Linked DNA regions of Oryzias latipes. The protein of the gene in region 3 interacts with the protein of the main gene of each other region in a pairwise test. Links are inferred from orthologs where the notes say so. Each region holds a gene or a part of one and is shown on either strand. Other genes may lie near its edges.

Region 1 (4,023 bases), on a different chromosome or scaffold from region 3:
AGAAAGTCCATGAAACTTAAAGGGTAATAATTGGAATAATAATAATAATAATAATAATAATAATTAAAGAGGAAATAGTCAAAGTTGACCATAAATAAAGTGAAAACAGCACAATAACAAAAAAGAAAGGTTTGTGAAAAATGCGAGCGCCGGGTATCGAACCAGCGAGCTTCCAAAGAATCCCCATGTATTACAATGGAGGCAAAAAATCCTGGAATATCATGAAGAGTTCAAGGATTTAAAGGACCAAAAGTCATAGCAGGAAAAAGCTGAAAGAGCTGAACATTTGAATAGCTGAATAGTTAAAATAGCTGAGAAATTGTAGAAGAAGTTAAGCTGCAAAAAATGGTGGAAGATACTAGAAAAGAAAGAGAAACAGGAAAACAATGGAGTGAAGGATTTATAACATTAAACTCTAGTCATTTGAACAAGCTGAACGTGTTTATCTCTGAGCTTTTTTTTTACATCATGTTCAGGGGATTACTGATGAAAACTGGCCCTAGGCTAATTCTGGCCTTTTTAACTGTTTTTTTTTTTTTTAAATAAACATTTTTTATTATAATAACTTTAAAAAAATCAAAAAGTCCTGAACCACTTTAGTGGATAAATAAGACTTAACAAAAAGATTGAGTCATTTAAACTAGGAAAAACTGATGCAAGTAAAGGCATCAGTTTTGATTTTTATGCAGACTCATTGAGGTTGTTATCACACCCACAAAGATCTTAAAACCAGAAATTACCAAATAAAAATGCAAATTGAAGATTGAAATGATTCTTTCCTTTTTTTTAAAGGTCTTGGTTAACATGACGTAACAAAATCTGATTTTACAACATTCACCACAGTAAGGCTCGCGATTCTGTTACTTTTAAACTTCCTGTTCCTTTAAAACCAAAACGCTGACAGTCTAGAGCTGATGTGTCTGTCAGTCGACACGGTCTGGGAAAGAATCCACAAACGTCCTTTTGGCTTAAAGGACCGGCAGTTGAAACGACGTTTCCAAAGATTCCAAAACAGCGGAGGAAAACTTTAGAAAAGCGTCAGATTAACCTAAACGTGTAGGTGACATTTCCCTTTGTGCCCCAGGTTTTATCACTAAAATGGAATGAGCGAGTCATCTATCCAAAAAAAAAACATCTACCTAAACCAAAAAAAAGTCATCAACCAACCAAACGTCAAATTCATCTGGAAAAAAGGAGCAAGAATCCAGGATTACTTAAATCCCATATGGAATTGTCCAAACATTTCATATAAAACAAATGTGTATTTTACAGAATTGGTCAGATTGCTCATTATTATTAATAAAGTATTGATAACAGTGGGAACATTTACCTTTTTTTATTTTCTGTATAAGGATTAAATTAAATTCAAGAAAACAATACAATAGTATTAAGGAAAGAAAAGTAATCTTTGCTGCTTCCTTTTTCTGTTGATTAATGGTCAAACTATTACTACGGTAATCCCAAATTCTCAGGTTCATTTATAGTTTTTTTTTGTAAGATATTGTTACATACCTAGACAAAAGAGGAAGTGAGCAAGTTAAGGCCCCACTTTGTTAAATTTCCTGTTGCTGCAAAATGCAAATTGTGTTAACTCATTTAAAAATCATTAATATAAACTTTACCTGCAAGGAGCTGTTAGTTTTCAGGAAAACAACTGTACTTCCTGTGATATGAACATAGAACAATAGTTCTATGAATGCATATATGAATATTTTTGGCAGGATTGTTTACTGTTGATCAAAATTTCCAGTTTTATAATACACTGAACACTTTGTGGAGTACTCTCAGGAGATACATTTTTTTAATTTAGTTTTAAATGTTTTATTATTATTTCTTTATTTCTTTATTTTCACAAATTAAACCACTTTTTGACACATTTATTTTACCACACTAAATTTAGTGAAAAACAATTAATACCTAAACGAATAAATAAAAACTTTGCGGTTTTACGTAACTTCCGTTCCATACGTTTCGTTTACACATGCGCAGAAGTATAAATACAAAATGTGAGAGAAAGGGACAGAAAAATGCCTAAAAGGATTGGCTTTCGGGGAGATATACTACAAATATTAATGCGATATCTCATTAGTGTACAGTACGAATGCATTTTTTTTGTCACTTTAATATTCTGATATCTTAAGAAATCACATCATGAACGGAGACTTGCGTGTAAACAGGTTCAATGACTACAAGAGGAAAAGCTCGGAATTACGAATACTCTAAGGCCGTGAAGGCAGCACGTTGTTTTGTTTAATATTTTTAAGCATTTATGAGAAAATGGTTGAATAAATTACACCATCTGCACTATCATAACCTTATATAAAAATAGAAAGATGATAATACATAATAGTAAAAAAAAAAATCTGTAGTTTTCATTGTGTTTAAGCAGCCATTAGCATAGCCGTAGCCCGCACGACCCCGCAGGGAGGAACCCAGCCACAGATTTACCTTCACGAATGTGATCGGCGTGGTGGTGCCTTCAATGTCCAACAGCAGAGCACCAGTGCACGCAGGGATGGAGACAGAGGCCATTGTTGATCACAAAAAGCAGCTGGAGACGTTAGCTGGTCTGAGCTTAAAGGACAGCGGGCGGCGGCACCGCAGGATTCCAGCCAGGCGGCGATTCGGTCCGGTCCGGTCCGATACTCGCTGCTTCTCCAGACAGAAAAATCAACACCGATCGAAATCCAAACAGTTACGTTTGACACAACCTGTCCGTGACATGAGCTCGACAACCATTACAAAGCAACAACCAGCTCACATGTTCAGCATCGTCAGTTTAGCCTCCGCGTCGGGAGATGGCGCTGTTGAGTCGTAAAACTTATTTTAGTGGGGAAACCAGAAATTGGTGATGAGTACCAAACTATTGAATTACAAGACGACTACTCACTATAGTGCGTTTGCCATTTTGTCCGCATCTATTCCGAAATCGAATGGCCCAATATTCACATTTAAATTCCAAAATCAAGTGCCCTACAAATTTCCCAGAAGTCTCTGCGAAAAACCAGTGTGCAACACCAGATCGATGCACACTAGATTTTCGAATACAGACCACAATATGTTGCATTAGAACAATTTTTGCAAGAAATAATAAGTATTACCATCTATTTTTGATAAACCACTTACGTTTTTTCATGCTTTTGTCAAATAAAAGTTATAAATTCATAAAAATACAGTTACAAAAACAGATTTCTTGATAAATCAGGTATAAAACTGTTTTTTTGCACATTTTAAAAGCTAAATGTAATATTTTTTTACAACTTTTTGAAGCCTTTGTTTATCATTATATATGAAAATTGTTGAATTATTTTTCACAATTGTACAACTTTCTTCTCACAAATTAGATTTTTCTTCATAACTGTATGACTTTGTTCTCATGTTGTACAAACTAATGCTCCTAACTTTTAACTTTATTTAATAATTGTATGACTTTATTTTCATACATATGTCTTTTTTTCTTCTTTGATGGTGTCCCTGATGCGCCATCATGAGTGTCAGTGTTAGTATGATTTTTGATTTTGATAAAGTTTTTCTTCTGGTTGCTCGTTTGCTGAGCAGTTTTCCTTTCCTTTCATTTCAATTTCAGAATTTTATTTTTGTTTTTGTTGCCTAGCATTTTTAAACAAAACAATCAAATATAGAGTTGGTCATGCTTTTTATTTATTTATGTATGTATGTATTGATTGATTGATTGGTTTCTCCTAAAACCATTTCCATTATTTTGGAGAGAAAAAAAGGTCCAATACTAAAAGTCTTTCATATTTAGATTTAGAACTGTATCTAAAGATTTTTAAGATGAAGATAATTGGATCTTGGAAAATTAGGCTCAAAACTAAAACAACAAATCTCTTTATTTATTTATTAATAAGAGAACAATTCATTTGAATAAAGTCCCTTTTAAAAAATGTAAAATATTCAATTATTTACAAATTACCCTGGTGTTACATCTCCGCTGCAGCAGGTGGCGCTCTGCACTCAAATGCTCACTTGGGATTCGCAGAAGTAGACAAACAAGAAACGACT
Region 2 (4,182 bases), on a different chromosome or scaffold from region 3:
TTCACTCCAGCTCCAGGAAAAATGACACTCTGCAAAGTGTTTCTGCAGGAGACAAGAGTCCCACATCTCAGAGTTGGCGGAGCTCGCGTTTCAAGCTTCGGACAGTTAATGTTACCTGTGATTCGCTGCTCGCCGTCAGGAGACTCCAGGGACTTCCACCTCTCAGGAAGGGATTCCAGCAGAGCGAGGTCGTTGGGTCTGAGCGTTTGCAGCAGAACTTTCCTCTGCAGGAATCTGAACATGAGCTCAGGAGAGCAGAAGACAGAAACAAAAAAACAGACTGCTGGCTCTACCATTCCCCGCCCTCGCCGCCAACTTTTGTTTTGCCCTGGAGGGCATGATCATAATCATAATTTTAAAGTTTTCTATGGATATCCTCCGTTTTGGCTTTGATTGAAGGATTTGAAATATATTTTTTGAACCCCATTAGAGATCTTTGCCCCATTCATTTTTGTGATGGTTTCTCCCACTGGAATGTTTATTTTATTTTATTTGTTAGTTTGTTTGTTTGTGTGTGTAGGGGGTGGACTATGTCAAGCCTTCCTATGCAGCGGGTACCGGGTCTGTGCAGATCTTGGTAAATATTTTAGCATTTGCCGTTTCGCTCTCAGAAAAAAAGAATTGCAAAAACAATCCGGTCCTTGCCGTCCATGAATGCTGCGGACCGTACCAACAGCACAGACAGGAAGGATACTGCTGCCTGTAGTGGCGCTCGGCGTCCTGAAGCCACTCCAGCATGTCTGCGACTGACGGGGTGACGGCGGAGCGCTCTGTGACGGCCTGCAGGTCCAAACTGGTGGCGTTCTGCTCATACAGCTGCATGACGGACCTCACCTGGTTACTGATGGCGTCTCTGGCAGACTGCAGACGACACCTGAGAAGGAAAGGAGTCTGTCTTAGTCCTCGGACAAGGAAGCCCTTGAAGACTGATAAAAATCATGTTTTTATCTGTTTTGACAAGTTTTTGCGGCCTTTTTCTGATGATCGAGGACATACATAAAGAAAAGTATGCTTAAAATTGGCAATCTGAAAATGTCTTTATTCAAATTGCTGTGAATGAGGAGCAGAAGAAAAAACCATGATGTCCCTGAATGCATCAGCACTGTCTCTGCTATGGACACACCTGGCATATGACACGGTATAACGGGGTGGGATTATATACGTTCGCTTCCTTCCACTCCCTTTCAAGCAATATTTATTAATATGTCTAAATATCCTAAGTTTGATTCGTCATTGTATGAATGTATAACTGATGATTGTATTGTTGTTGTGTATTGTTCTTATTTGATTGGTTGAAATAAACCATTTAAAAAAAAAAAGAAAAAAAAAGACACGCGTTCCAGAACATGTTAACCCATAGTGTTCACACAGTGCTAGTGGGTTGGGGCTTCTCCTTCTTCTACAATTGACCATGACTTGTCTTCCACCTACAGTTGGCAGAGTCTTGGTGCGAAATGTCAAAGTGGTGCAAATCTCTTGTATATCTGACTCCAGGCTTTTTCTTTTCGCATCTCTAGTCCAATATATGAAAGATTTAGTGTCATATATTCCGACTGGAATCAAATCAAAATCATTAATTTGTCCTCCATGGTCAACTTTCAAACGGTTGGTGTTTCCGTAAATTTAAAGGGGTGCCATCCATGCGTCACTACCAAATCTGAGTCCCTAATTGGTCAAAGTTCGACCTGGTTTAACTTTTAAGGTACATTTAATAGATGCACTTTTTGTACATACAGAGCTCAGAAATTATCGTAGAAACTTCAAGAGTTTAAACCAAAATGCAAATTTACATTTTTTTTATTGGTGGTTTCTTGAACGCGCATCGCTGAGGGCGGTGTGAACGTAGCTTAATGATGGTTCTAGTTTCTGGTAAAGGTCTTATGTGGCTTATTTTGATTTGGGGTTTTATCTTTAATATTTTCTTTAAACGGAAATTGTAATATATGGTTTGGTGCTAGTATCTGTACTACAGGAGCTCTTATTTTGAAACAAACTTTTTTTATGCTGTCACAAAAAACAGAGCTAATAGTCTTTTCAACGTCACAGGAGTCCCTGTGATGACGTCATCCGAGAGGCGCGTGTGTGTGGAGTTGTCGCGTGTCTCACATCTTCTCGTTGAGTTTCTCCAGCACCGTGTCCGCGGCCTCCTGCAGTTTGAAGCGCAGCCGCTCCTCCAGCTTCGGGAAGGTTCCGAGCGGCGTGCTGGAGACCCGCACGTTAGAGAGAGCTCTCATCTGCTCCGCTAGGTTCCCCAGAGACCCCAGGAGAGGGCTGCACTCCGCTAGCTCGCTCCCCCACAGCCGCTGGTTGCTCTCCAGCGCGGCGAAGCTGTTCCTGAACGCCTGGTGGAGGGCGCTGAGCGTCGGTCGGGAGATGTCAGACATGCCCTCGGCCTCCGCTCTGGCTTGGATGGGACTGTAAATATAGTTCTGACCAAGTCTGAAAGCCTCAGCAAAATTCTGCACTACTTTTCTGCGCAGAACCAGAAAGCGCTTCCGGTGTCAAGTAGTGACATATGCTGCCTTTACTGATCCTTGGAGATACGGTGCCCCATAAATACAGTAGCTCCTCAAAAAAGGCACTTGATTTCGGAAAATTGTATTTTTTCGTGCTCTCCTTTTTAAATCTACATACACACATACATACATTTTATTGATATATTTTCCCACTGGTTTTGTTAATGCTTCTGGACTTTTTGAGAACTTTTTTTTATATTTATAATCACAGGCATGTCTGTAGGAAGTTGCTATTTATCTTGGTTAAATTGGGTAAATTGTAATTGTGAGTTAAAAAAACTTTTTACTTGGTGACTATTTTTAGTATTTCCTGCCCTTCAGCTGTTTTACAAAAATGCTTTTTTTGATTCTTACTGAAACGCTTTCCATCAGGGGACGATTCATTTTTTCCCGAGTTGTCTTCGAACGCAGCATTGAACATTCGCAGTGCCGAACCCTGATGACGGGGCTCAATCCACGTCCTGATTGGCTGGATTTGTGTCTTGGCTCCGCCTCGCGCGGACATTTGAAAACGACTTCGCGAAGAAGGCAGGCCAGAGGGAAACCCACACAACTGTTACCTTTGTAAGAAAACCCGCTTCAAACTCAGACGAATTGAATCTAAAAACATTTATATCATAAGTGAGACCAAAGAATGAAAACGGGAGTAAATTAATCTGCCGGATAAACTCCTGCCGATTCCAAAGCTAACAACATAGCTGCTAACGTCCTCGGCGGCTTATTTTTTTCCATCTCGAAAACAACGTTTCACAGTTTTCTCCTGTTTGTGAAGTTCTGAGCGGACATGGCGCCCAGGAAAAGGACCACGAAGCAGCGAAAGAACAACCAGAAAATTGAAAAACTGGAAGTTTTTTTGGAGGATTTCGACAGCGAAGGTAAACGACAATGCTAGTTCGGCTTAAGTAAAGGCTCGGCCTACAGTTTGTTGTCTGAAATAAAGTGTTCTGAAACCCAACAAACCGAACCTGTTCAACCTTTGTCAGTAACAGCTGAAAGAGCTGACCAGGTTGGGGATATATATATATATATATATATATATATATATATATATATATATATATATATATATATATATATATATATATATATATATATATGCCAGCTCTTACCAGCTAATTCAGAATTGACAAAGCCTCTTGGATAAGGGGTGAAACATCTTCTAACTTTAAAAACTAAGTCTAGATGACAGCCCCTAAACCTACTACTATGATGGAATCAACCTGGATGAATGAGTCTTCAAGACAATCCAAAGAAAACAAAAAATAACTTCATTTAGCTGTTATAATTTGTTATTATCATTTGGAAATTGCAGGTTTTTTTTCATGAAAGACCCTACAAGAGTTCCTCTCCTTATATGTGCAATTTCATGCACTAATAAAAAAATGTGCTCAAAAACTAGTTAGAATTTGTTTGTAAATTTACTGATCGCTTATTTCCTGTTTGTGTTTTTTGTTTTGTTGCTAAAAAGATAATTATACGTAAAAAAGGAAGTTCTGCTCCTTCGAAATGATGCAATAAACCGGATCATAAAGAAGTGGATGGAAAAAGTGCTATAAAAAAACAATCTAAATTTTGATATCAAAACTCATTAAATATGCATCTTTTAAAGCTTAGCATTTTTTAATAGCTTGAAAAAATTAAATACGAAGAAATGCTATTTAAGCCT
Region 3 (4,223 bases):
GCAAAATCCGTGAAGTAGAAACCTTTATTTTTTTTAAACTATTATTATACAATTAAATACTCTATTATACATTGAAAAGAAAGAACAAACCAATTTACAGGCTCAAGCATTTGTTTCACAAATAAAAGTACTTTAGAAACCTTTTTTTCAACAAATAACTCTGTACTGTACTGTCAAATAATAATTTTAATGAATGTGAACAGAAGGCTTCAAATCGCGGAGATTAGCCCCGCCCACCGCGACCCGAGTATTGGATTAAACGGGAGAAAATTTAAAATGATTATGAAAAAAATACAAAGTACAGTGGGACAAATAGTGACTCAGGTGTATTTCACTGCTCTTCAGACTGAGCCGCTGCATCCTGACTCAGCTCTGCAGTGTTTTCTTCTTTTGAAGCCCGCGGTGCAGCTGTGTTTGTTCGGGAGAAGAACATAGTGATAGGCAGTTGTTGTCGCTCTTTTTTCTGCTTTGCAAAAAGATCCTTATACACCGACTTGCCACCATCAAGAGAATTTGCACGTAGTAATGAAAATTTGGCAAGCTGATTTACGTACGTGCACATATTAAACTGCAACGTTATTGACGCACAGGTAGAGAAGAAGCGGAGTGACTTTTTAGCCAATCAGAATGCAGAACACAATGCACCATGCAAATCCGTGAAGTAGCGAAACCGTGAAAAGCAAACCGCGTTATAGCAAGGGATCACTGTATATCCAATTCCTTGTAAAAGTAAACTTGCCTGCACTGGTTCTTCCAACACTCCACTGCAAATAGGACAGAGGAGGTCTTCATCCACCTCACCCTGGAACCTCGTAACATCGTACCCCATGGTACACTACCCACAACCTCCTGAGCATCAACAACAGGTAGCACACAAACAAACAGTAAAATGTCAGTACTTCAAACGGTTGTGATGCACAAAGAAGGAAACAACACAATTGTATTAATACATGTCAATTAATACAATTTTACACTTTAAATTTCAGCATTTAAATGGGAATGATTAATTATATGTAATTTCAATGACTTTAGACTTTCAAATCATTTAGTAATATCTTCATTTACATAAAATAAGTGCTGAAATGGATGTATAAAAGTAGGGCATACTGAGATTTTACCCTTTACACAATTGTTTAAAAACATAAACAAATGGATTTATTTTGTACAACAAAAAAAACATCTACTTCATGTGACCGCATAAAACTGCTTTAGTCAAGGTCTCACAGGGATTTAACTAAGAACAAGAAGTCTGAAAACATCAGTCAGCAAGCTGAAGAAAATTACAACAGCAAGTAATTAAACTGTTTGAGCCCAAATCTGTGCAAAAATGTGTCCATCACCCTTGTTGAGGTTAGTCATCTGAGCTACTAAAATGAAAAGCACAACAGTTTCATGGGAAAAAAAATCTTCAACAAGAAGCTTTGTGGTTTTGGACTACTTAAAAAGCATTGTGTTCATATTTTTCCATGCCATTCATACAATAAAATTACCAAACTTGCAAAAAGGAGAAAAGGGTGAAAACATTATTTCTCTGCATGAGTTACTTTAGTTAAAAAAATGCTTAGTACCTCTTAAATATCTCTCTCTATATATATATCTATCTCTCTCTCTCTCTATATATATTTTTTTTTTAAAGAAAGTAAAACTATACCTATACCTATACAGCTATTTGCTCGTTAATGCTAAAATCTGGCAAATAAATAAATAAAGACCAATGTTAATCAAAAACTTGATGTAAAGTTGTTTGTTATTTGTTTAATTTAGCTTTTTGGGACAAAAAGCATTGAAATAAATTCCCATGTTTGCTGACATATTTAAATAGCTGTGATTTAAAAGAACCCCCAGAAAATCAACTCTTTCCCAGAATTACTGTGTCAAGAACAGATAATATAAGGGGTTTAAGAGCTTTATTTAACCATATATGAAAAGACAAACTATTCGAGACAAAAAAAAATAGCCTACGTGATAACAGTTCTGCTGATGCGCAGCATAAAAAAGCGGTGCCCTTGAGCCGAAGTTGTGTTATTTTTCAGCCGCATCTCATCGGCATCCACATTTATACTGGGTTAAAATCTGAGGATTGGATTTCAATATCTGAGTACTTTCCAAATAGGATACTGACACCAATTCGGTTCGAGTTAGATTCACCTGACAATTCGATTTTAGCATCATTAAACGATAGCTTTAGCAAAAGTTAGCGTACCGCTAAAGCTAGTGTTAGCTACGTGGAGCTCTTTTCCCTTTGACAGTTTACTAATATATAATGTTAAACTATTTTACACAAACACATAAAAGTAAATAACAAATTTAGTGTTTCTTCAGAAAGAAAAATTAACACATGTCACGGGTTATTAGGAACTGACTTATGTCAAATATAGGTATAGGGTTAGCATCTACCAAAACAGTGGTTTTCATGAATGTTAGCACTCAAGCTAACCCGACGGATCTCAGATAGCACAAATATTTATGAAAGCGACTTTAATAAAAAACACTATGAGAAAAATAAAATTCACTACTATACTTACTTAGGCATGAAGCAAAACAGGTCCTTGTCAGGTTTACAAATGTTTAAAAACGTTGTACCTTCGCTAGCAATGTGCTAGCCACGTCTTGCTACATCCTACACTTGAACGTTGGCAGGAAGAGGAGGACTCTACCACAGGTTCTGAAGGTCTATGTCATTCTGTTCTTCAAATCAAACAGTTGATAATATTCCAATGGGGTTTAATGATCACTTTTCCTTTAGCCTGTTATATATGTTATGAAAGATGTGTTCGAAATGAGATTGAAAAACGGAATAGATTTTTGCCGCTGTCCCCTATTCTTGTTTGTAAATTGGTCTATTCCATAGTCTTCGTGCTGTCGAGGACCGATTACGTTTTTTATGTGTTAATTTAACCTTTATTTAACCATATAGAGAAACAGTTATACTTTAAAATGACCACCCAGATGTATTTAGGCATGTTTTTAGAAAACCAGAAAGCGATTACATTCTAAGGATTTTGACACACAATAAAAACTTTTTTCCCAGGAAATATTTTAGTTTTTACAGTATATTATTTTTATTTTGTTTTGTGTAGTTTAATTTGATAGAAATAATTGAAGATATTTCTTTTTGTTTTTAAACTTTTTTCTATCTTGGAAATGTCAGTTACTGTACTTTCTTTGTTCATCTGCCTTTTTCATGAAGTAATGGAACATTTTCTGACATATTTTTTTTATCATGTTAATAACATTATGCCCTGCATACATAGTAAACTTTAACAAAACTTTTCATGATTCTTTACCCAAAGGAAACAGCAGAAAGGAACATGTGAGCCATTGTAAATACAGAGTGTGGGTTCCAGACCATGAACATTTTTCTAAATTCTGCTGCTGGTGATTTGAATGATTGAAATGTCAAAAGACAGAAAACAATTAATTTAATAAACAGGAACCTCAGTAGTCAGCTACAACAGCCTCAGTCGCCACCGGTCCCCAGTTTGGTTACACACTCCTGTGTAATGGCGTCCCATTTTTCATCCAGCGTTTGTTGCAAGTCCAACATTGTTGCTGCATTAGTCACTCCTGCATAAAAAAATAAAAATCACACCCAAAATTGTTCCCTAAATTTAACACTTTGATTGACTTGAAGGCAGAATTGTCAGCAAGGTATTCGACTCTTCCCACTTCCAAATTCAGAAAGTAACATCCATCTACAGTGAGCGGCGGTTTGGCCATCTTTACAGGTTAAATCCTGTGGAGAATTATCTCTGGTTGCAGAATCTCATATTTTTCTTAATTGTGATTAGCTGTTTGCCAAGACAACTGCTGGTCTTATTGCCCTGCAAACATCAACTGCAAATCTGTAAAAAAAAAAAAAAAAAAAAATAGTGCAAATGAGAAGAAAAGGTGTCCTTAGGCTGTCTTCTTGGGACATTGACTTTTTTAGCCCATCTCTGACATTTATTGTTATAAAGTAATAATCTTAGCCTTCAATTTGGAAATGGAAAAAGAAATTATCTTCAACAAATACTGGGATTTAGTTTTGTAAAACACCACTCTGTAGTTGCCCTATTCCATAGGCCAACCCAAAGTAGGTCAATCAGTTGTTAGCAGCAACTGGGAGTACCTACATCTCAGAACAAGAGTTAAAAAATAAAAAACACATTAAAGGCTGCTTGAAATTGTCATTTTTTTATGTATACATTGTATTATCTCACCATTTGTTCTAAGTGAAGTAT

Evidence for each region.
Region 1: the proteins of rnf41 (region 3) and enoph1 interact in binary tests that used the Homo sapiens proteins (3 or more experiments, as listed by UniProt). The link is inferred for Oryzias latipes from reciprocal best matches to the Homo sapiens genes RNF41 and ENOPH1.
Region 2: the proteins of rnf41 (region 3) and c11h1orf109 interact in binary tests that used the Homo sapiens proteins (3 or more experiments, as listed by UniProt). The two-hybrid records come from large-scale screens. The link is inferred for Oryzias latipes from reciprocal best matches to the Homo sapiens genes RNF41 and AIRIM.

What each region holds. Positions count from the first base shown.
Region 1 is NC_019870.2:2,828,087-2,832,109, reverse strand, and holds the start of enoph1 (enolase-phosphatase E1), read right to left. Parts: upstream 2,804-4,023; 5' UTR 2,533-2,803; coding exon 2,449-2,532; intron 1-2,448. UniProt on the Homo sapiens protein: Bifunctional enzyme that catalyzes the enolization of 2,3-diketo-5-methylthiopentyl-1-phosphate (DK-MTP-1-P) into the intermediate 2-hydroxy-3-keto-5-methylthiopentenyl-1-phosphate (HK-MTPenyl-1-P), which is then dephosphorylated to form the acireductone 1,2-dihydroxy-3-keto-5-methylthiopentene (DHK-MTPene).
Region 2 is NC_019869.2:20,075,803-20,079,984, forward strand, and holds the start of c11h1orf109 (uncharacterized protein C1orf109 homolog), read right to left. Parts: upstream 2,804-4,182; 5' UTR 2,385-2,803; coding exon 2,107-2,384; intron 875-2,106; coding exon 695-874; intron 235-694; coding exon 116-234; intron 43-115; coding exon 2-42; 3' UTR 1-1. Other genes in the region: cdca8 (borealin), read left to right, coding at 3,301-3,391. UniProt on the Homo sapiens protein: Part of the 55LCC heterohexameric ATPase complex which is chromatin-associated and promotes replisome proteostasis to maintain replication fork progression and genome stability.
Region 3 is NC_019865.2:22,245,519-22,249,741, forward strand, and holds the start of rnf41 (E3 ubiquitin-protein ligase NRDP1), read right to left. Parts: upstream 2,801-4,223; 5' UTR 2,526-2,800; intron 850-2,525; 5' UTR 830-849; coding exon 740-829; intron 1-739. UniProt on the Homo sapiens protein: Acts as E3 ubiquitin-protein ligase and regulates the degradation of target proteins. Polyubiquitinates MYD88. Negatively regulates MYD88-dependent production of pro-inflammatory cytokines.